2 linked regions of the Oryzias latipes genome follow. The protein of the gene in region 1 purifies or fractionates together with the protein of each later gene. This does not show direct contact. Links are inferred from orthologs where the notes say so. Each region holds a gene or a part of one and is shown in the gene's direction. Other genes may lie near its edges. The genes, in order: sorbs3 and wasl.

Region 1 (13,004 bases):
AGGTTCAAGACATTCACACACAAGAAAAACCTGATTATTTTCTTGTCTTGTTATTTCAATTTAGCTGCTCTTAAATTCCCCAGAAAACAACAAGCCAGTGACAGTTGGAACTAAAAATAAGAAATGTTTGCACATGCCTGCACACGGTCCGTACTTTGGGGAAATTTCCCACGTCTGGTCCCTCCCTCAAGCCCGCCTCCCTTTCTCAGGGATTCACCGTTTTCGAATCACACATGCTTTCTGCCTTAAAGGCGGCCAACAACACTGTTGGGCAGATGAATCACAGGAGCAAAGCAAAACACAGAGCAACAGAAGATCGATGAGTTCTTGTTTAAGATGGTGAAAGAAGACGGCAACAATAACTTTGGTGAGATGTTCATCGAATTATACGTTGAATTTTCATGTAAAAGTAAAAATCTCCATAACAAAAAAGTTTCAGTCATTAAATTATTATTGGCTGACTCTTATTTGTTGAAACTTTAAACTCATGCAGCTTTACAATTAAATGTGTTGCCTTAGAGATTTTTTTTGCATTTCTTAAAAAGCAAACATTTTAAATACATCTTATATTTTAATTCTTGTTTTGTCAGTTAGAAGAGAAAGTTAAAGATTTATTTGGGCCAAAGAAGCTAAAAAACAGTCAATCTTCAGTGGGAGTTGACTTTTTCTGTCTTGTGAGGTCATCTCTATGATGCACTAGAATGTTCAGGAGGAGACATTCCTGAAATAAATTTGACAACAGCTATTGTTTGTTTCATCTTTGCAGTTCCAGGAATAAGATCAGTATAGTTAGGTGTGTCACAAGGTTCGTAAGGCACACTTAACTTGTTGTAGTGATTAACCTGACAAAAGATTTAAATAGTTCGGCAAATAGTCATAAAGGTTTTCTTGGAATTCCTTTATACTGCAGTGGGATGGACAACAGCAATTTTTCTTAGATCATGGCAGCACTGGATAAAGAAAATTTCCAAGTTGGTTGCAGCAGTGAGCAGGAATGAACTTTTGGTTCTCTTAAAACCGGTTTCAACACATAAGTCTCGTCTTGTCAGACCCTTGTTTTTCCGAAATTTTGGAGTGACACTAAATGTGGATAATCAGTCAGTGGAGGCCAGGCTGAGATCTGAAAGAAAAGAGAGCAGCAGATAAGGCTGCCTGAAAAACAACCCATATCTCTTGTATGCTAGTTGTCTCAAGCAACAAATGAAGGTTTAAAAACTTGCTTTGTGACATTTTTGTGGAACTGAATCCTCTCTTACTTCTATTTATAGAACTCCACAAATAAAATTCTTCTTTTTTTCCTCAACAGTTGGCTCAGTGGTAACAAATAAGTGCAGCCGTCACTGCCTCGGACTTCTGACCTTCCACAGTTGGGCTACTGGAGACCGGATCCACCTGAGCCCGGATGGTCTGCAGGCTGAAAGGATAGGGGACACGTTCAGAGATGGCCTAGTGTTCACTAGCCGGCCAGTAAGGGTCCAGGAGAGAGTTCATGTTCGAGTGCAGAAGGAAGAACTGTTTAAATGGCAGGGAGCCATGCGGATCGGCTTCACCAGCGTGCCACCTTCAGACAGATCTTTGCCTCTGCCCAGGATGGCCATCCCAAATCTGACCCAAAAGCCGGGCCACTGGGCTGCTCCTGTGCCTGAGTCCCAGTGTTCTGCAGGTTCAGAGCTGGTGTTCTGGGTCTCTGCTGGTGGAAACATATATGTAGAATGCGGCAACACGCGGGACAAACTTCTTTCAGGAGTGGACCTCGGTCAGCCCCTCTGGGCCATGATAGATATCTACGGACAGACACGCTCCATATTTCTGCTTGGTATGTTTATCACATTCACAATGTATCTCCTCTTTGTCTTATTCTCTATTCAAATTCATGATCATGGATCATGGTCTTTCTGTCCCTGACCTTTGCTGTGACCTCCCTGCTGCAGGCTCTGAGATGAAGAGATTGTTTTATAGAAGAAAGTCCTGCACTGTTCCTGTACCTGAGCTTCCCATCTCACCCAATGACAGCTGTCATTTGAATGCTAACGCTTCAACATCAAGATACGGTGATGAGTGCGTCTCCAACCTTGAAATGGACATGTCAGCAGGTAAAAAGAGTCACTGTAGCGGTTCTTTTTTTATTTAGCACAGTGAAGTCTGTCTGTGTGATGCCAGGAATATAACCTTGATTCTTGTCTTCTGGTTCCAGATGAAACATGTGTGGTGTGCATGCAGAGAACAGTCGAAAGTGCCTTGCCCTGTGGCCACAAGTGTTTGTGTTACCAATGCACTTCCAGAGTCTTGCTGCAGTTTGGAACCTGCCCGCTGTGCCGAGAGGACATCAGGTCTCTGTTAATAGAGTGGAGGGGGGTGTCTGGCTGAGCCTTGAAATGCTATTCCACCTGAAATAATCCCTGAACTGTTTTTGTAATTGTAGTGAGGAAAATGAAAAGTGGCTGACGTGAATTGTTGAAGCCACAGAATCTGACACTCCAGAAACACTTACATTTTATAAAAACCTTGTGAGACAAAGAAAATGTATTATGAAGCTGACACCAGTCCCAATGAGCATAAATGTATTTTGTAAAATGTAAATTGAAAAATGTCATTCTTTTGCACTTTCTTTGTAATCTCTAGATAAAGAAGAGGAGCCAAAATATCTGTTGCTGACAAAGACATGAGCGTTTATTGTGTATAAGAATTTGTTTTATATGTTTTTTACACATATTTTTAACTGTAATTTCTTTTTACATGTTTCTACTTTGTAAAAAAAAAAGTCACTTGTCTGGAAGAATGTCAAAGATAAGGAAAGATATAAAGACGTTCTGACTTTTATTCTTGTTGATGTGTCTGATGTGATCCTGAGATATGTATCTAAATAAGCGGAGTGTTTGGTTTCCCAGCACTGTCGTGAATCTAAAAATGACTCATTTTTCAAAGGAGTAGACATATTTTGTTTAAAATGCAGAAGCCGATGCAGTAGATTGTGTAATCTGAAACTGGTTATGGGTGTGTTTTACGCTGCTGGAAAGATACCAGAGAGTGGAGATGTTTCTTGCACAACTGAAAAACGTGCAACCTGCAAATCATTGCTGTGGTTAAATAGAAAACAAAACTTATTAGTTAATAAATGATCTGCAGTATTTTTTAAGACTTTAATATAAATTAAACATTTAGTGTACTTGATTATGTATCCGCATCTCCTCTGTTCGTCATCTGGATCCATGCTCACCTGTTCTGTCTTTAATGCAACAGCTCTGGTATAATTGTCCACACAAATCAGTGGTATTATTAAATGATTTGTCTGTTGTAAATGATTAACATGGCAAAGGAGTGAATGAAGCAAAATGCTGGCAAGTGTTTTTGTAGTTTAACCTTAAAAGCCCAAACATTGCTGATGCAGGAAAAACTAAAATCCATCTGCATCAAGAAGCACGTTTGTTCCTATTGCTTCTACAGAAAATAACTGGTTGCTCCTAAAGTCCCACTCCGATCATCTTGTGATCTATTTTAAAAGCATTCCCAGTGGTCTTGTAGTTATGATTTTGCCATTTTTTTAGCCACAAAAAGCAAAACAATCATTTTTCAGGACATCATTTCTGCAGTAGTTCGTTAGAAATTCACCTGTGAGTTGTGAGCTGGACTGTTGTAGTGGCCTTCCCATTGTATTTTCCACATAACGTAACATATTTCAATCTGCATTTTTTTCATGTACTCCTGCTTCATAACCATTTAAGTAAAAATATACTCATGAAAGCAATTTTATTCTAAATTTTTTAATGTCCTTCACCATAAGCAAAATGCTTCAAGAAAAAGTTAAAAACAGCAAAAACACCAATTTCATTGGAGTGGGTCTAAAGCAGTAAAACATAAACTTTCTGTTGGATAGGTATTCATTAATTTTCCCTCCCTGGGACATTATTCTGAGGACATCTGTGGAGAAATCTGTTTTGTATAAAAAATGTGGTCATAATCTGATGCCTCCAAGTAATTTTTTTCTTGGTTCTATTTTCGTTAAACATTGTCCAACATTATTTTTTGTTTTTTTTTAGAAAACAATGGACTAATTTGACTTGAATTTGGATTCATGCTTCTTTTTTTAAACTTTTTGTTTTGTTTTGGTTTAGATGAGTCTTCAACTCTGGGAACATCTGTCAGTTCTGCTCACATGTAAAAGCACAAACCCAGCAGTGCCCTTTATAACCACTGAGGGGCAGCATATTTCCATTTATTATGAGAAAAACCAATAACTCCCTAAATAGAGATTTACTTCTTAAAACTCTTTGAGTTCAAGACAGTGAAACCGAGGCTTGTTGCAGGTATCAATATTATTTTTTAGATAGTTTAGAAATAAATCTTTAGATACCTTGACATCCATTTAAAAAAATTATATTTGAAGGGAAAAAAAATACAACTGTTTATTTGTAATTACACTTGTGTGATCTTTGACTCCAAGTATGCATTAATATTATATATATATTGTAATTATATTATTATATTATATATTAATATATATATAGTATATATTATATATACGCATGTAACATTTCCGACTCACTACGGTGAAGTTCTGGATTGTTGTCTTGACATGTGGATGGACTCTAGACAAAAGACTGAAGGTGTGACCTTTGGTTTGTGATCTCACAGCCTACCTGTTAAATATTTATCTTGGATGGCAGAACTGCACTGCTTTTGATCACAAAGTGAAGGAATCTACCAAACATATGTTTCTGGGGATAAGAAACCGTGGGAATAAACATGTAAATCCAGTCAGAATCTTGCAGCTTCACTGCTCTAGAATCAGATCCATGGCACTACTTCTTATGGTTGAACTGTCGTATTTTTCAGATTTTAGGAAGGTAAGTAGATTTAGTTCTGGAAGCCTTATGTTCTCTTGCATGTGTGTGAGGTAGTCAGCCTGTATGCGTCTGCATTTATGTCTGTGAGAAACAGGTGAAGCGCGTTGACTTAACCCCTTGGTTCACATAAAAAGCTGCCCAGACTGCCTTTTGTGTGAGGAACAAATGTATCAGACCCATCTGATGATAACAGCAGACAGTAAACAGACTGAACTGCTGCACAACATGAGTTACCCATGCTTCTTCTCTGAAAAGAAAAATCGACTTTTGCACCTAGAACACTGACAAGCTGTTCTGCTTAGCTCATGACTGGATGGGAATCTATTATTTCCAGCTGTGGATGGAAACTATTACGGAGCCCTGTCTCCCTGATGAGCGTTAAAGTGAATGGTCGCAAAACAAACACATGCCAGCACGCCTACAGACAGGCAGGGAAAGATTCAGGCCCACGCTGAATCATTCACTATAGATAAAAGCCACCCTGTTGTCCTCAGACTGAAAAGGGAGGGAACGGAGCGAGTGGGGAGAAGTGGTGGTTCCCTCCTCCTTCTGGATTCAGTTCCTCTCTTCTTTTGTGCCGAGAAGATCTGACTGCGCAGCCTGTAAGTACTGTACTACTTGTGCCTCCTGTTCTGACTGTGAGATGAGAGCAGCGTGGGTGACGAGGAAGTAAAAGTTGACAGTGCAGAAAGATTTTTCAGAACTTTGGGATTGTTTAAACAGGAGTTTCAGTTTGCCGGAGGAACATTTATGAATGAAGACACTTGATATTTACAGGGGTTTTTTCATCACTTCAAAATTATTGTACTTTTTTTTTTTTTACAGCTGATAACAGTGATGGTTCTCCCCAAACTTTGAGCTGTCAGATTTTATTCTGATTAACTTTCTGGAAAACTTAAGTCTTTTTTCTAGATACGATAGTTAAATTTAAAGTCCCGAACCGAAATAAGCTGTTTTAGTGCCAGGATAACCCAGATTACTTTGTGTTTGTTCTCAGGAGACATTCCCACATGTGACACTTCACGACAAGTAGTTCTTATCTCAAGCCTCCATGTTTCTGATGATACCTTTAACCTGTAGAGTTGTACTGTCTCTCTCATGTTAACTGATGATAACTGGATTTTTAGACTTTTTTAGTGCGGTTGTCTTTCTTCTTTCAGAAAAAGTCAAATATAAAAATCACGCTAATAAAAACCCAGAAAAACCTGTAACTTTGGTTTCAAGATGATGTAGTTTTTCATTGCATAATCCACTTATGTCATGGTAAATTCTCTCCCTGGAATCTTTGGCTGTTATCCTTTTAATGAGGCTCTGCAGTGTACTGGCATTATGTGAAAGGGCAGTGGTTGGTCTTTACAGCGCAATAAAGATCTGCTGGAAACTTTCCACAACAGTGGGGAATCACGTAGGAAAAGAGCATACCTTGCCTCCTTTTCTGGCTTATTTTTCTACAAGAAATAGGTGTTTTTTGTCTGGATTGGGTGAAGGAAAGATGTTTGGTTGTGGCTTTACCCAGTTGTTTGTACGATTACCTCATTTAACAACAGAATAATATAATGACAGAAGTGCAACCAGGAAGGAAAAAGTCTGTTCCTGCATGGCACTAATTAAGAACTAAGGCTCCTGAAAGGAGCCTGGGTAATGCTTTAAGTTTGGGAGCTCCACCGTTTGGCCAAAAACAACCCAGAGAGCAGTACAGGCTCAGTGAATGAGCTGCTGCCCCCAGGTTTTATAGCCAGACCGCTGAATTATTAAACAGAGCAGAGGCCTTAAGTTTCAGGAGGAAAGTGGCTTGCATGAAGATGTTAAAACAAATATGCAGATTGACTGAAAGTTTGAGTGAGACCATTCAGGCCGGCAGAGAATTGGAGCCGTCACTATTTGTGGAATTTGTAGCTCAGTCTACCTGTGGCAGGCTGTTAGGCAGGAATTGCATGGAAGCAGAATGCATGTATGCATTTTGTCCTTTTGGGGGTTTACCTGCATTGTGATTTGATCAAGAACGACACACGAATTTGACTGAAGTATTCATCTGAATTTGAATAATTGTCCTTTGCACTGCTAAGATATCTATCACGTGTCAAATTATTTTCTCCACATGTTTGTATGTATGAAGGAAAGAAAAACAGTAGTTAAAAGGCTCAGTCCACAATATGCAAACACATTCTTTATGTAAAATAATCACAGAAAAGATAATTAGGAGGAGACATCATGGAGTCGCCTGGCTGTGTTCGGGCAGCAGAGGTGATGAACTGTTTGTGTTCCCCTTTGGTTAACCCTGTGCTGTGAATTATCTCCTTATCACAACAATGGGGCTGTTTCACTGAAGGAGGTGCCCCTGAACTGACAAGCCAAGTGCAGGGTGCCTTTTAAACGCAGGTTGAAAGGGGTTGTCATGGTAATACTTGTCAACCGGGAAGTCTTTCTCGGAGGCAGGCGGTGTGAGGGTTGGGTGTCTGAGAGGCGACCTGGCCAGTTTCAGCAGTCAGAAAAGGGAAACTTCAGGGCCGACAGAGGTGATTCCATGCCCCACTCAGTCAGGGGGAAGGTTTTTATCAGCCCCAGCGGGAAGGTGAGGGGACTCGTAAAGAAAGGGAGCACAATCGAGAGCAGAGAAACTCAGGTATGGCTGTTTAGCAAGTGTGTTGAGTAACCAGTCTGACTGCTCAGGTGTACACAGTGTTTACCTTGTTTTAAATGCTGCAGAAAGTATGTATCTTTACAAAGAATCTAACAGCAAAATGAAGCCTTTAATCTATGGAAGTTCAGTGTTGCAACACCACTGTTTACTGACTAAGCAAGTGGAATAATGCATGCATCCAAGCATGAACACACAGAGTACACTGAGGGCAATGTTTCTAAATATCTGTTCAGGGGCTATGTGTACACCAGGTGAGATCAACATGTCACTCAGCCGTGTTGCTTCCCTCATTCTGAAAAGGAGCTCAATGACTGGACTGTCCAGACCCCCCTGACTGTCAGGGAGATTTCCACAGCTGGCTCAGACTCCCTTTGTCACGTTTCTGTGGGTCCAACTGCCTACAGTCAGCTTTAAAAATGCAAGATGACAGGCAGGAAGATTTGGGAAATTTTTTTTCTCTTACCCGCACCTACTTTCTTATGCTTTGACGGTATATTGAACACATTGAAGAAAATAATTGAATTTCTTTTATGTTGTTGATGAGAATAATCAACTTCGACTCTGAGCTTGGGTCCTCTTGAGGGGAAAAAAGGCTGGGATTTACTGGCCTGAAGCTTCTGCTGGAACGTACTGAACTCTCCATTGATATGAAACACGCACAGACTCCTCCTGTTGTCTAGGCTGGTGGAGCACCATACAAGGAGGTGAAATACTTCCCTCCGTGATAAATGTGTATATCCCCCTCAATCACTGATTATCATAAACCTGCTGCTGCAGGACCTTGTATGGACTCTGTCCACACATCTGCTCCGCATGCTTGTGTGATCATCCTGACACAGCTAACCTCTCACATAGCAGCATGCTGACTCACATAATGTGTCCATAAAATGTCTGTTTTATTCACTCAAACTGCTTGTAACTGGCACCTCAGCACTTTTAAAGCCATGATTTCTTTGGTTTTATTGGCTGCTTATGTAATTTGTTGAGCAGCTGTAATGTAATGTTTATCGGGAAATGATTGGACATGACTGCTTTGTCACCACAAGATCATCAGATGTATTAATATCCAGGAGAGCAGCACATCATGAATCAAAGCCGTTTAATGCTTTGTGGAGATCATGAAATGTGGAAATTATGTTTATGTTAAAGAAACCTTGACCTCATGCTCCTCAACAGCTCCCATGTTGTGAAACAGAGGATGTGCCAACGACTAGAAATCAAATCTTTCTCCTTGAGAAAAAGAGATCCTTCCCTTGACCACAAATAACAACTTTCCTGGATGACAACCACAAAAGTTCAAGGGTCAACCCTCCCCGTGTTCTTGTTGAAGAATGTATTGTTACCTTGACAGAGTTGTCAGTGTGAAGAGCAATGCAAGCTCCCCTTCTGTGTGGAGGAAGTCCCTTAAGAAGACCTGTCACGTCCTTCTTATGAAGATGAAGAAATCTTAGGATTTATGAGTATATACATGACACCCGTTTTCCTTTTGCAGTATAGTACAACATCTGTCTAAGTCGGATTTTGTCTGAGTATAATTCATTCAGCTATTCATTGAGCTTCTTGTAGCTTTAAAGTCTCACAACATCTTTTGCTCTTTTGTAATAGTGTTTCCAGTGGTCTCTTAATTACGATTAAGCCATTTTTAGCCAAAATCAAAAAATCCTGTGTCGTTGTCCAGCAAACAGTTTCTGCAGAGCGGCAGGAGTTAATCAGAAATTCACCTCTGAGTTGTGGGCGGGACCGTGGATGTGGTAGCAAGCCCTCGCCCTTCCCATCATCCATCCGTTTACTCACTTTCCCTCTAGTTTACAGCCTTTCACACCCCCAACCTAACATTACAGTTGCAACAAAAATGGCGAGCAAATTGAAGCTATCCAGCCGAACAGTTCTGAGCAAGATGTCAGTTCAGACGAGGAAAACAAAGAAGTACATAGATCTATTTGTCTGCAAGTGGATGCACACAATGGAGCAGAACAGGGGGCTTGTTGCTCACCATAGATTCTATGGACTCTAGAAGGTAACTATATCACACTTACAAGTTTTATGTAACAACATTTTCTCTCTCCTGGAAAATTCACAATGATTTGATTAAAGAAACACGATTTTAATCTTAATTTTATTTATATATGTCCTCCATCTCAACAAAAATGGCAAAAGAACGGGTTAAAAACAGCAAAAACCCAATTTTGATTGGAGTGGGTCTTTTAAGATGATCTGGTCTCCTCAGCATCTTTCAAACATGATGTCATCTGCCAACTTTTCGTACAGCATAGAGGGAAAATATGAGTATGATCAACTAAAATAACTTATTTCTAGGTTCTTTTTATAATCACTGGTGTCATCTTGAAAACTGGAGGTAAGGGGACGGTGTAGCTGCCAGGGTCCAAAGCCAGATTTAGCAAGGCCCCCATGTTAACCTGTCACAGATGGGGCACTGGTTTTGTGACAACAAACTTAACTAGCAAGAGTGCTATGATGTCCAAGTTATGATGGAGTTTTCCATAGGGAAACAAACTGATCAGCTCATCTCTTTATTTTCTGTTCCTGAGAGCCAAACCAAGGCAGGACTGTGGAGACACGTACACTACAGTGTCTGTCATCTCAGTGCCTCCAGGACTTTTTGATAATTGCTGTGCTTAAAAAATATTTACTGTAGTTTGCGACAGTCTTTCCAAAAAATGTTGATATTTTTCAATAATAAATTCCAGTTCACGGCTGTGGGAGGACATTAAAGCTGCTGTTTTTCCCCTGCATTTATACAATTCCTAATTAAATGGTGATTTATTTTAAAATCAAGCTTATTTTTGTCATATTGTGCAATAGCACCTATAAAACTTGAACAATTACTTAATAGGGACATGCTTTGTAACATTTTCCCCAACAAATAGACAGCATTAAACTCATATTGAAATACTACATTTTTACCATGTTATGAATTATTTTAGTCTTGTTAAAAAAAATTTTTGGCGAGGAAAAACAATCAAGTGAAATGTGACCATTGGCCACCCAGCCTTAATTTAGGAATTCTTAAATTGAATCTGAAAATTCAACACAGAATTATTGCAAAACAGCTGTTTCAGTTAGAAAGATCACTTGAACCAAACACTTCTTTTTAGACATGAGCAAATATCCTTAAATGGTACATTTAGTGATTTGTTTACACAGCTTTATCAGCAAATCATTAGGTCTTTCATCAACTTATCTCAGTGTTGTGTTGCAGCAAAGTTGTAGTGATTGAACAAACTTGTGTAGAGAAAAATGTTTGGAAATTGGATGATAAAAGATAAAGGGGAAATTCATGGCTTCTCATTTGCAAAAAAATCCAATAAAATATGTCAACTGGATCTCTTTAGATTCTCTCTTAGGATTGATGATTGGAGCTGACCAGGAACTCTCCATCTACCCAGGTTTTCAGGGAAAAGGAGATAAAAGTCTTTTTAAAAGCATTTTTTAAATCAGGTTCTTCCCTTTTCCCAGTCCAGTCAGTGCAACCACAGATTTGCCTGTGGCCATCGCTCAGCAATTTTGGTAAAGTTGTTGTTCACCTTCCGACATATCTCTTCAGGGGTTGCCACAGCAAATCAGCTTTCACTTATTCACTCAACCCTGTATTTTATCTGGGATTGGGACGTACGCATGGGGGGCCCAGACTAGTGCTCCCTGGTTACTACAAGTGCCTTGCTTAATTTTGGCATGGGTGAAACTCTGCAGGTTTTATCCTGGGACTTTGGTCAGAGGTCTATGTCACTAATCTCAATGACAGAAAAGAAAAGAATCAAAGTCCTAACTCAGACTTGGTTCAAATTCAATGAGACTTAAGGAGACCTGTATATGTATGGAAATGCCTCCACAGCTATATGAACACATTTTTAATCAAAGTCAGATTTAAGCAAGAGGAAAGAGGAAATTCAAACTAAAACTTTCTCTTGTTAAACCTGAATCTACAATTCACAGAGTGGACTTGGAGTGCCTTACTTACACACATTTGCACAACTTTAAATCTGCAAAATCACTTAAAATAAGCATGTTTGTCATCAGCTTCATCAATTGTTGTTTTGTAATCCCTGTATTTCCAGTCTAACTGACAAATGTTACAGTGACAGATCAGTGCAGAATCATGTTTTCTCTTTTTACTGTCTATTATTTTAAGTTTCAACAACAATTTCTAAGAGAGATGACTTTAACTGTGTTTTGTTTAATTTGAAGTGGTCTACATACATTTTTGTCTCAGCACCCCGCAGTTTGGATTTCCTGTTGTTTTCTAGCTTTAACTTATTTTTGGATCAGTTAATATTTGCCTCTTTCCCTGGAGATATTCTTTGAACTTCCTGGGGACAGACAAAAATAAAATCCAAGTCAAAATCCGTCGATTCCTATGTTAGACATCCTCAGTTGCATTCTGCCATGCTGAGTTTATGTCACCACGTGTAAAGCAGCAAACAAAACCTGTCAGTTCAGCATTGTGAAAGCATCTCCAAAGGAGGATATCAACTCTAGAATGAAGGTGAATTACTTTTTAAGGTCATGCTTTCCTTTCCCCAAATGTGACGGGGTGCAGGCCTGCAGAAAGAAACGTGCTTCACAGAGACAGCATCCAGGAGCTTCTAAAAGCAAATCTTTATGTGGAAGCTCAGAGCTGCCTTCTGTGTTGAGGCTCAGCAATTACATAAGAGCGCACTGAGCATGAAAAACAAACCAACAAAGAACCAAACTTTTGGAGTGGGCTTTCCTTTGCTAACCATCAACAGAGGATTTGCCTTATTAGGTTAGACTGTGATTGAAGCTTTTAGTGTGGAGTAGATGAGTAGATCTTTTTGATTTGGTTCTGCTGTGATATGACACAGAGTTACTGTAATGGTATGGCTTAAGTCATGGAAAAAATTCTTGGAAAAAGGAGACTTTTTTTCCTTTCAATGCTTCAAAAAATTAAACAAACCTCAAAGGTTTACGCCTTCAATCCATCCATTTTCTATACCCTTCTGGGCTGTGGAGGTGCTGGAAACCGTCCCAGCTGTCAGGGAGTGAGGGAGGGACAGCCGTACACAGGATGGTTATTCATTATTAGACCATGCAGGGACAAACAGCATAAAGAAAAGCATGTATTCTAGCATATCTATGTTTGAACTGCCTCACTGGTTGTGTTTTGTTCTTCTGATGGAAATCTTTAAATGCCTCACTTGATCAGGTAACTTTAGATTAGATTATAAGAACCTTTACGTTGGCTACATGAATATTTCCAAATTGGTTTAGTCTTAAACAGTTCAGTGTTGTGTTATTGTGGATTAAAAAATGGAAGTTTCGGCAAAAAAAACGTGTAAAAAGAAAACTTGTTGTAAAATATTTGTTTTGTTTTTGGAGTTAACTTGTGTAAAATAATAGATCCTTTGTTTTCCCTAAAAGGAAAATGACAAATAACTCTAGTTTTATGGTAATCACCTTGAGCCCACTTCTAGTGAAAAGTTTCCTGCTCAGATGAGATCAGATGGAAATGCAGATCAGCAAGTCAAACAGTGCGAAAG
Region 2 (12,764 bases), on another chromosome or scaffold:
TTAGATTAGATTAGATTAGATTAGATTAGATTAGATTAGATTAGATTAGATTAGATTAGATTAGATTAGATTAGAAATACAGAAATACAGATTTTTCTTTTCTTTAATGGAAATATCTTCAAATCGAGTGAAGATGCTCTTTTTGTTTGTGTGACATGGATCAATCAGCAATTTGATCATCTAATTCTTGCACTATTTTGCAAAAAATGGGGTCAAATATAACTGAGTGGCACTGAAAAGGCATCATTGATTTTAAATCTAATGCAGTGCTGCCATCTTGTGGTTTAAAAGTGGCAGTGCACAGCAGACACAGTAAATAATCTCATAAGGTTTTACCGACCGAGAGGAGTGGTTTAGAAGTTTCACATGACTATAACAATAACCAGTTTTACAATATATATGAACACAGAAAAACACTACTAAATGACAGGTATGCCCCAGTCTTAAATTGTTTTTAGGGTTGGTTTTTCTATTATCACACTGCACAAACTGCTAAAGTAAAAAGACCTTTGTTTTTAAGAAATATCATTTTATTATTTGTATCTCAAGAAAAATTAGGTTATCAAGAAGGTTCTTCAATACGAAAATAATCTTATTTAGAGAAAACATGTCTTAGTGACTAGAATTTGATTTTAGAATACAAATTAGTGGTGAGATCGTTTTTTTTTAAATTAAATTTCTTGCTTATTTTAAGTAATTTTTTCCAACTTAAAACTAAATTTGCTTATTTAAGGGGCTCTTTCTTGCAGTACACTTTGCAATGAAAATCAAGTAGAGACATGTATGTTATCAAAAGTAAGGTCAGGAGTATGTGTGAGGGAATTTTCCACCGCCTCTAATGGTAATGTCAGCTGTCTGGTTCTTTTTTTTTCTTTTGTGATGTCTTTGTGAATGAGCCTGTATAATCGCTACTGTGCAATCCTCAATGGTGTAATGTTTCCCATAAAGGAAAATGCCGGGAGATGCTGGCCTGTTTAAATGACCCAGTTGTGACATTTTCCCTCCCAAAAAACCCACATTGTTTCTCAGTATGATTACACATTCATAAAGAGGCCTAAGGGAGGTTTGTTCCACGAGACTCCAAATTTTAATATTCATGTTTCATTTTTGCCTTGTCTTTGGAACTTTTTTTTTTTTTTTTTTTGCTGAAAAAAAAAAGTCGGTTGAAAGCAAAAGCAAACAATATGCTAGCACTCACTTATGCATATTTTACCTCAAACAAGGGTTTATGTCCACACCACAAAAGCATCTGCCTGCACGTCATGTAGTCGGGATGACGTAACAACTGTTGCGTCAACTGTGTGTTGTTGCACAGACAACAATCTCTATTGTTATTGTGGAAATACAACAAGTGTTTGTATTCAGTATCACAAAAAAAACCACAGTGAATTGTGTGGGTTTTTTTTGTTTTTACATTTCCACATTTCAATTCTGTGAAGACATGTAGCTTTTGTTTGCTTTGTTGCATTATCAGCTTTAAGGAGTTTTGTGAACGTACAGTCCACGTAAACACATCTGTGGCTGTAAGGACTAGGAAGACTTTGTAAACTTTTGACAACATTGGACATTTTAAATACATGACACAGTCCATGAAACATAAATGCACTTCCTAATATGCCTGAATGGTGTTAAGAAGTTTACACATATATAATGTTATATATATTTTAAGTAATAAAATAATATAAATATATAATAAAGTATGATAATATTTGTTCAACGACTTTCCCTTTTAATTAATATTTATTAAGGCTACAGCTTAGATTTTTTTTAATCATCGCATTGTTTTTTACTTTTGCTGCATTTGTAAATTAACTTTGTTTTATTCATCTTTGCAGCTTCACTATTTTTACCCTTTGCTTAAATTTTTTTTTTTTTATCAGGTTTCTTTTGCACTTCTTCATTTGAATTTTTATTTTATTATTTTTAAGCTATTTAAAGACTGAGTCTTGTGATTCATGATACTTTGAGCTGTGATGTATGATTGTGTTTTAAATATTTTCTCCTTTTCCAGTGTTTTCTTTTTACTCGCTTGTAAAGAGGCAACTATGTGAATAAAGTTTGTCAATAAAGTTTGATGACTGATGACAAAACTTTAGCTTTTACTCTTTAGCGCTGAAAGAGGCTTTGAAATAGACACGTTTGTACCACTTCATCTGCCTGAATCATTGTGATACTTACAAAAATGAAGGTGGGCGGAGCCATGCAGCGTTTCCTCAGGTGTTTCTTCTTCTGACTCTCTGGTTTTTCAAGCTCGACAAGAGCAGAGAAAGGTTTGAGCACGAGTCAGAAGGCAGAATTGAAAAACTGTAGTCAGAATATGCAGAAGCAAAAATTTCCTAAAAACTCGGTGAGAGGTTGCCTTTAAATTAGGAACAGAAAAATGAATCCTGTATTCAGAAAAATGAACCATGTTTATGAATTCATACAAATAGGATTGCAAAGCTGGTTGTAATTTAAGACACTGTGAATCTGCCTGAGCACCGTGTACAATCTGGATGACCTCTGCTGCTGTGCACACACAGACAACCACGTGTACTTGTATACATATACACAGGCAGGAGCTGCAAACAGACGTGCTCTCACTCCGTCCCACCCAGAACTTAAGAGTGAGACAAAGTCATCGTGCAGTTTCAGCTGGAATATAACCGCGCCATTGTGTAACACTGCAGACAGGAGCAGACACGCAGAAAGCAGTTTCATAGTTAGAAGTTTTACAAAAATGACTGCCAGTTTTAATAAGATTTCGTGACAAATAATCAGGTGTTTTGCATTTTTTTATTCTAATTTTGTGAGCTTTTAAGAAAATTGATTTAAATAAAGAAGGGTTTGAAAAATTACCTTTTTTTTGCTTGAGCTTTATCAAAATAGGCAAATGAGGAGCCTGTGCTTACGTCAAATGATAAAAGCCTGCAAATCAGTACTAAAAGGATTTCAAATGAGCTAGTTTTTCAACATACTCCTACATATTCTTACATAGAAAGAAACACATCAAGAAGTGTGACTTTGAGGTGGTGGTTACATAAACTTATTTGAGCTAATAATAGCTATTTCTACTTTTTCAAGCTATCTTTAATTAGAATTTCTGTGATAAAAGGATCGACGCGTGGTAAAGTGTGACACAAAACAGAAGAATTTATTTGTGTTAGTAGAACAACCTGTTTGACTGAGCATATGGCAAAGTGGGGGTAATCTCCCTAAAGCGATTGAGCTTGAAAAAAATGTAGTACGCCAGGCAGGCAGGAGAGCTATTGTTCAAATCCACGTTTTGCTGCACCCAATTATCTGCTTAAGTAATCATCTTTTTTTTTTATTTTCTAATTTTTTACTACATATCTGACAAATATTTGTTGTTTCTTATCACATCTTCACTTTAATTTCTTATGCCCAGAGTATGCTTTGATTTGTAAAATAGAAAACTGTTCAGAAAATAATAAATAAAAAAGAGCCTTACTAAAAATATTAAGTTATTTTTGCGCACATGTCAGCTTGAACCCTTAGGTGATGTTAAAGAAATGGAGCGCATTTAATTTTCCCTTGCTTTATTTACCAGTTCAGTCTAGCTGTGTGGCACAGTTCAGGAAGGTCTTCTATTTTAAATGAATGTTAATAACCTTTTAGAAATGAATCTAAAACCTAACTTGACCTATGACTTTTAGGAGTTTTGTTATCTTTAAAAGAAAATGGTAACCTTTTTGGTTCTTAGCGAATGCCTATTAAATCCCAAAGAGTTCATTTAAAATGTGGGATTAGTTTCCTGATAATCCCTAATCCAGTAGCTGCTCATACGGAAAAAAAAATCTTATCTTTGCTGACTGAACCTTATTCCTTACTGCCTCCCATTCCCAGTACTCACATTCCTGTCATAAAAGCCAGGGGCAGATTGGATTGTACCATCTTTACGGATAACAAGCAAAAACAATAGATTTCTTTGGCAATAAATAATAAATGGAATTCCCATTGAAATAAATGTATACGCTATAGATCTTTAAATAATTGTTTTAAGTATTATTTTTATGTTTAAAATATTTTTCAAGGTCTATTTGGGACGCGTTAGGTGAACGTTCCCCCCTTTTCAAGAACAATGGAGTCGTCCTAACTGCCATGTTGGATGGAGCTGGTTTAGGGCTCTCTGACGGCTTGACTGCCCAAGAAAGTTTCTGCAGTGTTCCGCCTTCTCTCGGTTGTTCCCAATTTGATCTTATTTGGAGGAGCTACGGGACTTTGCTTTACATTCCTAACCAGCAACCATCTTTGGCAACGTCGCTTTGCGGAAACGCAGGACCAATCCCAACCGGTGCGAGGGGTCCGGAGGACGAAGGCCACCCATGACCGAGAGGAATTGTTTATGTGTCTTTTGGGGTCTCGTATTTAACGAGTAAACTCAGTGCATACTTAGTTAATCAATTGATCTCTCACGATGAGTGGACTTTCACAGCCACGGCGGCCCATTAATGCGGGTTCAATTCTCCTGACCAGTCAGGAAAACGACTGCCTTTTCAACTACCTTGGTAGAAAATGCACCGTAAGTATTGTTTTATATTTCATCAATAAAATTGATTTCTGAACGATAGCTTGCTAACAAAAACTAGCTAACATTGCTAACTTGCAAAACGTTTCCTGTCCCGGGAACAGGGGATAGTGTTCAACCGGGATGTGTTTGTGGCCTGCGGTTCAATCTCCTACATGTTTATGCGCACACAGTTGAGGCATTTGAGATTTACAGGCTAGTTTGTTTTGACAGCCAGCGCGTCCGCGAGTGCGTTTAAACCTTTTTATTGATTAGAGAGGACACATGGGAAACGTAGTTTCATTCCTGGCGTGATAAATGCTTGGTCACATTTAAGTCTAGAGCTCGACCCACCTAACTAAGTCATCCAGAATTTATGCTAACAGTAGCCTAGCATTGATTGAGTCGTGTTTGACTTATCGGGGTGTTAAAGCAGTTAAAAATCCATCTGCGACATTTCCCCCCGTTTTTCCTCTCCTTTTTTTCCGTTGACATTAATATATAACGTGACTCAGCCTTCATGTTTTCGGGAAGTGTGCCACCAAAAAGAATGTGCCAACCCAGACACATGGCTTAGAACCCAGCTGACTAGCTTAAGCTTTAAAATACATTAAAAAAGCAAAGCAAAACGGGCCAGTCACCAAATGTGATGAGCTAAGCGGAAGGAGTCGTCCCCTTCTTCAGGTGTGACTGCGGCGGAGGTCTGTAGTTCCATTCCCATGGCGTCAGAAAGTGACAGAATCTGCTTTATTGCGTAAGACATTTAGCCTTCAGCAGATTTTTTATCTTTTGATTTTTTTGGTGGAAGTCCCACCTTCTCTCATAATCCTCTGAAGTACACCATTTGCGGCTTTTAATTTTTAATTTTTGGCTTTTGATGGATGTAATGACTTTTTTCTTTTTCTTTAAAACACTAATCTTAATCAACCCATCCCTCCTTTTTTTTCCCTTCTTTTTCCATGCCACCATTCTCATGCTGGCACTTTACATTAACAATTTTTGCAAATCCCAGAGAAGACAGATTTTTAACTACAATATTTTTATTTGTAATGTGCATTTACTTAAAAGTCTCACTTCGATCATCTTTTGATCTATTTTTAAAGTGCTCCCAGCGGATTTTTACGTATGATTATGCTGTTTTTAGCCTAAATTTAAAAAAGTTTTGCGGAACAGCAGTAGTTAATTTACCTCTGAGTTGTGGGCGAGACTGTTGAAGCAGAGTAAGTCCACCCTCCCTTCCCGTCATCCATTTGTTTACACACTTTCCTGCAAGCAAAAACCCCCAACCTAACATTGGCGGTGAAACAAAAATGGCAAGTAATATAGGAGCTATCCAGTCGCACAGTTTGGAGCCAGATGCCAGCTCAGACGTGGAAAACAAAGACATATCTGGATCTAATTGTCTGCAAGTGGATGCATCAGAATGGAGCAGAGCGGGGAGCTTGTGGTCTACATCAAATCTACAGGCTTTTTTTAAACCGCATTTTTGCATCCTCTCCGCATTCACAACAATTTGAATAGATGTTCAGTAATGCAATTTTAAACTTAACTTTCCTAACACATGTGTCCTCCAACGTATGAGAGAGGCTACAAGAACATGCTAAAAACACCAAAAACATCATCTGAGTGGGTCCTTAAAAATAAACCAGGGTTGGTTAAACAGAATAATTTTTGCCTGTAAAACAACACCACAATCCTAGATTTTTTTATTGAAAGGGCATAGTTATTAAGGGCACATGTTGTTTTTCATACATATTTGAATATTGAAAATGCACAGTAGTTTTCTCTTCTGGGCTTGTCATTGGGTTGTGCATTGCGGTCAATGTCTTGCTGCAATAAACCCCTCTGCAGATCTGCTCTAAGGTCAGGTGCTGAATGATGCTGGCAGCAGTGCTGGAAGTTGTTAGGAATATTAAAAGTACCTGCCAACAAGACTCTTTGCGGCTTGGGGGGTGGGGGGGCACTTTAGCATACAATAACTGCTGAGCAGTTTTGTCAAACCTGACAAATGTCACCCAAGCTTTATCTGCCAGAAAGTATGCTACACCCTCGCTTGTTATTGATTTCCTTTTTAGATTAGTCTTGTTTTTAGAAACCGGTTTCATATTGATAAGAGCAAGTCTAGTTGCTGCGTCTGTCTTTGTTTCTTTTATGATGATGCAGGGTCATTTCTTAAAGTCTTAACTTTGTGGTTTTATTGCTGCTTCGCAGGGATTTTAGTGTATTGAGTTACTTCCACATAGTCGTATAACCCAGCAAATCCGCCATAATTGAAACCTCTGAGGTGCTCGTACGAACAGAAGTTTGCTTTGGGAAGGCCGCATTTCCTGTTTTCAGGATTCACACGGTCAAACCTGTACGAGAGCCGCCCGGCTTCCACCTTTATCTGAGCAAACGCAGCTCTGAGGCGTGTCCTGCAGATCTGCAACCTGTTTAAAAACCTCATGACTGTATTCTTCTGGCATCCTGTCAGTGGGATTTTACGTCATGTGACACAGACGTGTACGCAGGAGCATTCCCCACCTTTGTGCCTTGTGTACACAGGGTCTCATGGACAGGAGACAGAAAAATATACCATGATAAAGGAAGACGGAATGCATCTAAGTAGCCAACACTCGCCAGTGTTTTTGCTTTTTGTTTTAGAATCTTGATAGGAAATACCCAAAAAAATGCACTAAATGGAAATGCTGGATTATGAATCATTATTGAATTTCGGCTGGTGAAACGATAGTGTCATTGACACGAGGCAGCCGCAGATGCCACAGACAGGTTTCCTTCATTGGTATTCCTTGTGCTCCCTTGAGCGTCAGCAGCTCTGTCTTGCTTGGTGAAAGATGGAATGTGTCCAGTTCACACATCGAGTCTTCATCCGTGTGTGTGCGCGTACGTGCACACACACTGCCTGATCAGCAGTCATGTCCTACAGGAAGGAAGTCCTGTGGTCGACCTCCTCTGGTGATTTGTGCTGGACGAAATGGACGTGACTCTCCTTTTCCTTCACTTCTCTCCTCTTCCAGAGAGTTTCTCCTTTTTAATCTTCATTTTCAGTTGTTCCGATTATTTGCTGAATCTTTTTCTTCCAGTTGGATCTCTCCTTTAGACGTTCTTTTGCATTTTCTTTTTCTGTTTTTATTGGACCTGTTGGCTTGTTTTAATCCCTTCTTTCATTAGACTTTACATCTAAAGACCCACTATGATGAAAATTGTGTTTTTGGTGTTTTAACATTTTTTTGTGGCAGTTTTCTGATGTATTAGAACATTGTGAAAATTAAGCTTAAAATTAAAAAAAGGGTTATGCGTGATGTACACTTGGCGGGCCTTAAGCTCGCTTTGCTAAAGCATCCACTAGCAGACAAATGGATGCATGTACGTCTTTGTTTTCCTCGTCTGAACTAGCCACTGGCTCCAGACTGTGGGTCTGGATAGCTTCGATACTGCTCGCCAATTTTCTTGCACCGGTTGGGGATGTGAGGGGCTGTAAGACGGCGGGAAAGCACGCAAACGGAGAGCTCTGTTATGGGTGGCGGGAAGGGGGGGCGGTGTTGCTCTTCACCACAACTCTGAGGCGAATTTCTAATGAACTCCTGCCGCTCTGCAGAAACTATGTCCTAGAAAATGAAAAGTTTTTTTGTTTTTTGACTAAAACTGCATCATCATACGTTATAGAATAGAGGGAACACTTTTACAATAGATCTTAAGATGATTGAAGTGGGATTTTAAAGCCTTTAAAATCTAATTATTAGTGAAGTGTCCAGGTTAAAAAGATGCACTTTTTTTTCCAATCTGTTAAATCATCTCCATTCAAGTGAATCACTACCCATTTATGGTCTGGATCTGTTGTTAAGATCCCATCTTTGACCAATTCAGATGTTTAAACTCTTGGATGGCCTGAGCAACTGTAAACTATATAAACCTATATATTATTTTACTTTTATGTTTTGTTTTTGTGGGTTACATGGGAAAGTAAGAATTTTCATAAACAGTTTTAAACGTAAAATAATTAATATTATTGAACACAAACAATTGCAGAATATCGGCAGCGATTCTCTCAAAAAAGACTATCGTTTTAAGTTAAATTTGAAAAAGGGGTTTGGACTCAAATAGTCAAACTCCATCCAAAACATTGCATACAGTTGTTTATTAATATGCCTTCATTTATGATTATTTTAATCGGTTCCAAATAGACAGAAACTAAGTAAAAACTGAATGTATGATGCTTAATATGATGGGACAGAGAGGTTAAACTTGGTGATGCTGTGGTTTAGTTCCTCTTGTAGATCAAACAATATTTTTTTGAACAAATGTCATTGAGAAACCACAGGATTTTGTGCTTTTTATTTCAGCTAGGTAGTCCGTGTCATCCTGTTTTTGCTTTACACGTTTCTCAAGTTTAGAATTTTCAGGCAGGTCGGCAAACTAGTTTTTCTCTTCAAAGGTTGATCTCAACAGAAATGTGGTGAGGCTTTGAATTTTACTCCAGCTGATCTCCTTTTGTTTGTTTTTTCTCGTGTACTGCAAGTTTAGTGTCTTTTGGAAAGATGGATTCAAAATTATGATCATAAAGTTTTAATGAAATGGTTTTCTTTTTTTTTTTAACAAACTATTAAAAGTAGAGGGATAATTTTGTTAAATTCAGATTTTATTTAACTCCTGAACTAAAATATTAGGGTGTTCCTCCCTGTTCATCCCGACTGCTTTGTTTACGTGCCTTTTGATTCATCAGATTAAAGCATAAAAAGCCATAACTCTGGAAGATTTCAAATAAAAATCAGAATATGCCACCGTAAGTTTCACATAAAACCATTGGAGTTTCACATAAGTGCACATATTACCTAACCTACTGACTAAAAAAAAGATATGTTGGTGTGAACAGTGTTTGCACCGGGTCAGTGAACGCAACATCAGGCGTCTTGCAGGTAGAAACTCCAAGCTGAGAGTCACAACAATTACATTTGAGAAATACTCTTAGTTTTTGACAGAAACCACAGTTTCCCATCCTATCTGGAGAAATCAGAGCTTCATGAGCAGATCAGAGTTCAAGCTTGAAAGCCGTCATGCTAAGATGCAGCAAAAAGCAGGATTTATTATGTGATTTTATAAGCATGAAATCAGAATCTGTTTGACCAAACTGTAAAAATGTTACCTTGATGAAATAAAATGTCAAAATCAACAGAACTGCTTCAGGTGTGACACATAGTTCAGAACATGTTGTCATTGGGATATTAGTGCAAATGTCTGCTTTTTCACTATAAATGCTTAAATCAAAGCTCTCTTGATTAGAAGGAAGTCCAGAAAAAGCTTTTGACCCGTGCAGCATATTTTCTACGTCACAAATACCATAATTTTCCAACTGCATTTTTTCCTCCCGCTTCACAGCAATTTAAATAAAGAATTTAAAGAGCTCAATTTTCTTCAAATATGTCCTCCATCATCAGAAAAACGGCAAAAGAACATGTGAAAAAACACAGTTTTCACCAGAGTGGGTCATTAATCCTCACAGTACTGCAGCAGATTGTTTTTCTTCCTGTTTTTGCTCACCTCAACATCCAATTTACACTAAACTACAAAGGGTCCCTGCTGTGCACGGCTACCATGAATCCTGTTGAGCTAGGCTGTAATTCCTGGAACTGGGTTCGGTTGAAAGGGCCCACAAGGCTTTTCCCTTGATGCCCCGGCTTTCATGTGTTACTCTGCAGCGGTGATGCTGGACTTCCCGGTGGGAAGGAACTCCTGCAGCAGCGTGGTAAAACTGCAGGAGTCTAATCTGGCCTTATGATCTTGTCTCGGTGTGCCATAGCTGATCCGTGTATGTGGAAGTGTTGCTACTCAGGCTTTTTGTAAATGACACGTGTTTGCTAGTGGTCATGTGATTTAATAGTGCAGTTAAGATTTATAAATAAATGTATAGTTTTCAATCTTTATGTTTTCGTGTATGTACTGTAAACTGCTTTTAGGAGGCCTTTTAGTTTCTTGGTGGTCCCCTTTCCCACATTAACAACTTTTTTTTTTGCTACAAAGTTTACATTTAATTGTCATTTCTCATCACAAATCAAATGTTTATGAATTAAATTGTAATATTTTAGCAATGATTCTCAGCAGAGTGGAGAAACATTGGTTGCAGAAATGCTACTTTGACTCAGTCAAAAATAAAGATGCAAAGCACAAATGCACATTTTTTACAATTTAAACATGTATATTAGCATAAAATCACACAGACTTTTCTTTTCTATTTTTGCTCCTATTTGGACAACTTTTCATTTTTGAACAAACATTTCTATAATAATTTACACACATGTAAAGGTGACCCTGAATACTGAAAGACATTTTTCCCAAGGTTTTATTTGAACATCAAATTCACCAATTTTTCTTTTACATATAATCTATTACACCCTAATCTATATTACATCAATAAGGTTTAATGGGATACAAACTAAGATCAATGAGAGCAGATGAAATACTAAACAAATACAAATTTCCTAAGGAAAGGCTAGAAAGCTGAAGATGCCCCTTACAGTCAGTCCAATTGATGAAGTCGGACTCTTTTGCTCACTGGTAATCCTTTAAGTCCAAAATCCTAAATTTTTTTTAATCTTTTAAGTCTTGTTATATAAAATGATTGGTAGGCTGGGTCTGAGACATTGATGGTATTTATAGGAAAATGTTGTATCTATTTAATGAAGATGTTTAGCAATAATTCTTGTTTAAATGTCCTTTATCGCTGCATTGCAGTTACAGATATTTACCACAAGAGGGTGCTATAGGGTCTGGAAAACAAGAATTAGCTTTTAGAGTGATTTTTTTTTTCCATATAGTTTCTTTTAGTTTATTTTCTGCAAAGGTTGTGAATAAAAAACAAAGTGTCTCCATAAATGTTGAAATTTTAACTGCTGGTTTTTCTGTTTCTTGTCCTCTGCAGACACTGTCTTCAGCTGTGGTCCAGGTGTACACAGGTGATAGGAATGGCAGCTGGAACAAGAGATGCTGCGGGGTGGCCTGTCTGGTCAAAGACAACCCCCAACGTTCATACTTCATCAGAGTCTTTGACATCAAGGTAGCTTCAAGTCAATCTTCACTTTTACTTAAAGACTAGTAAAAGCACATTTTATAGTCAAACAATCCAAATATTTAGCATTAAAAGCTTCAGCAACTGTTAGATCCAGTTAGATTTGTTGGTTAATAAATGTGGTTGTCTCGTTTGTTTCTTGATGACAGGATGGCAGAATGATGTACGAACAGGAATTATACCAAGACTTCAAGATGCAGATGCCCAGGACTTATTTTGCAACATTTGCTGGAGATGTGAGTTCTCCGTTCGGAAAGAAAAATCCAGTTTTCTAAATGCACATTTCTGTGGACAAATACTTCCCTTCTTTTCGTAAAACCGCAGTTAGAGAAATCAAACTCTTTTGTGGGTTGTAGACATTAAATATAGTTGTTTCATATCCTTCAACTGTCCTAAAATAAAATAAGATTAATCTAGTATTTAGAACATTTTTGTTACCAAATTTTAATATCTTTTTTTTAATTTACTAATGGAATTTTCAAGAACATAAATGTTATTTCCATGAAATAATAGTTCAGAACTACTGCAAAAATGTCCAAAGTATGTGTGTGACACAGAAGAATAGCAGACAGGACTGATCGGAACTAGTGAACAGTTCTGTATACATTTTCCCGCATGTGCTTTCTGACAGACGTGTCAAGTGGGCTTAAACTTTGCCAACGAGGAGGAAGCAAAGCGTTTCAGAGGCAGCGTGTCAGAACTGATGGGAAGAAGACAGAGGAGAACTGGTACCTTCCCTTTTTCCTCAGCTTTGATCTCATAAAAAAAAAAGACAAGATTTACAACTTTTGTGTGTGGAAAAAAACTTCTTTTTGACATCTGGCGTGTAAAGCACTAAATTGGAAATGGATTTTAATAATAAAAAGTAATGGATGCAAATACTTAAACAAGTTGACTGTAAATGTAGCAGCTGATGTTCTATCGGATAGATCCGGCTGGATTAGCACTGTACTGCTTATCCAATCCACCTTTTTTATTTAGTTAAACTTGCTTCAAAGACATTTGGAGCACAAAAAAATGAAAATGTAAACTTGTCTTTTTTTTTTTTTTAACTGTATTGACACAGAACTGAGCAAAAAAAAAAACACTGATAAAAGGTGTAACCCTATAATTTATTAAAACCTTATTCCAACTATGAAGCAGAAATCCAGCGGGGCTAAAACATATTTTTCAGACACCGATTCTACTAGTTGT

What was found.
Region 2: the proteins of sorbs3 (region 1) and wasl purify together in Homo sapiens (co-immunoprecipitation; 3 studies listed by BioGRID and IntAct, with this or other methods). This does not show direct contact. The link is inferred for Oryzias latipes from reciprocal best matches to the Homo sapiens genes SORBS3 and WASL.

Annotation. Positions count from the first base shown.
Region 1 is NC_019867.2:17,339,110-17,352,113, reverse strand, and holds the start of sorbs3 (vinexin), read left to right. Parts: upstream 1-5,324; 5' UTR 5,325-5,446; intron 5,447-13,004. Other genes in the region: protein neuralized-like, read left to right, coding at 337-367, 1,307-1,816, 1,932-2,093, 2,195-2,367. UniProt on the Homo sapiens protein: Vinexin alpha isoform promotes up-regulation of actin stress fiber formation. Vinexin beta isoform plays a role in cell spreading and enhances the activation of JNK/SAPK in response to EGF stimulation by using its third SH3 domain.
Region 2 is NC_019881.2:13,539,782-13,552,545, forward strand, and holds the start of wasl (neural Wiskott-Aldrich syndrome protein), read left to right. Parts: upstream 1-4,087; 5' UTR 4,088-4,417; coding exon 4,418-4,522; intron 4,523-11,423; coding exon 11,424-11,558; intron 11,559-11,719; coding exon 11,720-11,806; intron 11,807-12,201; coding exon 12,202-12,298; intron 12,299-12,764. UniProt on the Homo sapiens protein: Regulates actin polymerization by stimulating the actin-nucleating activity of the Arp2/3 complex. Involved in various processes, such as mitosis and cytokinesis, via its role in the regulation of actin polymerization.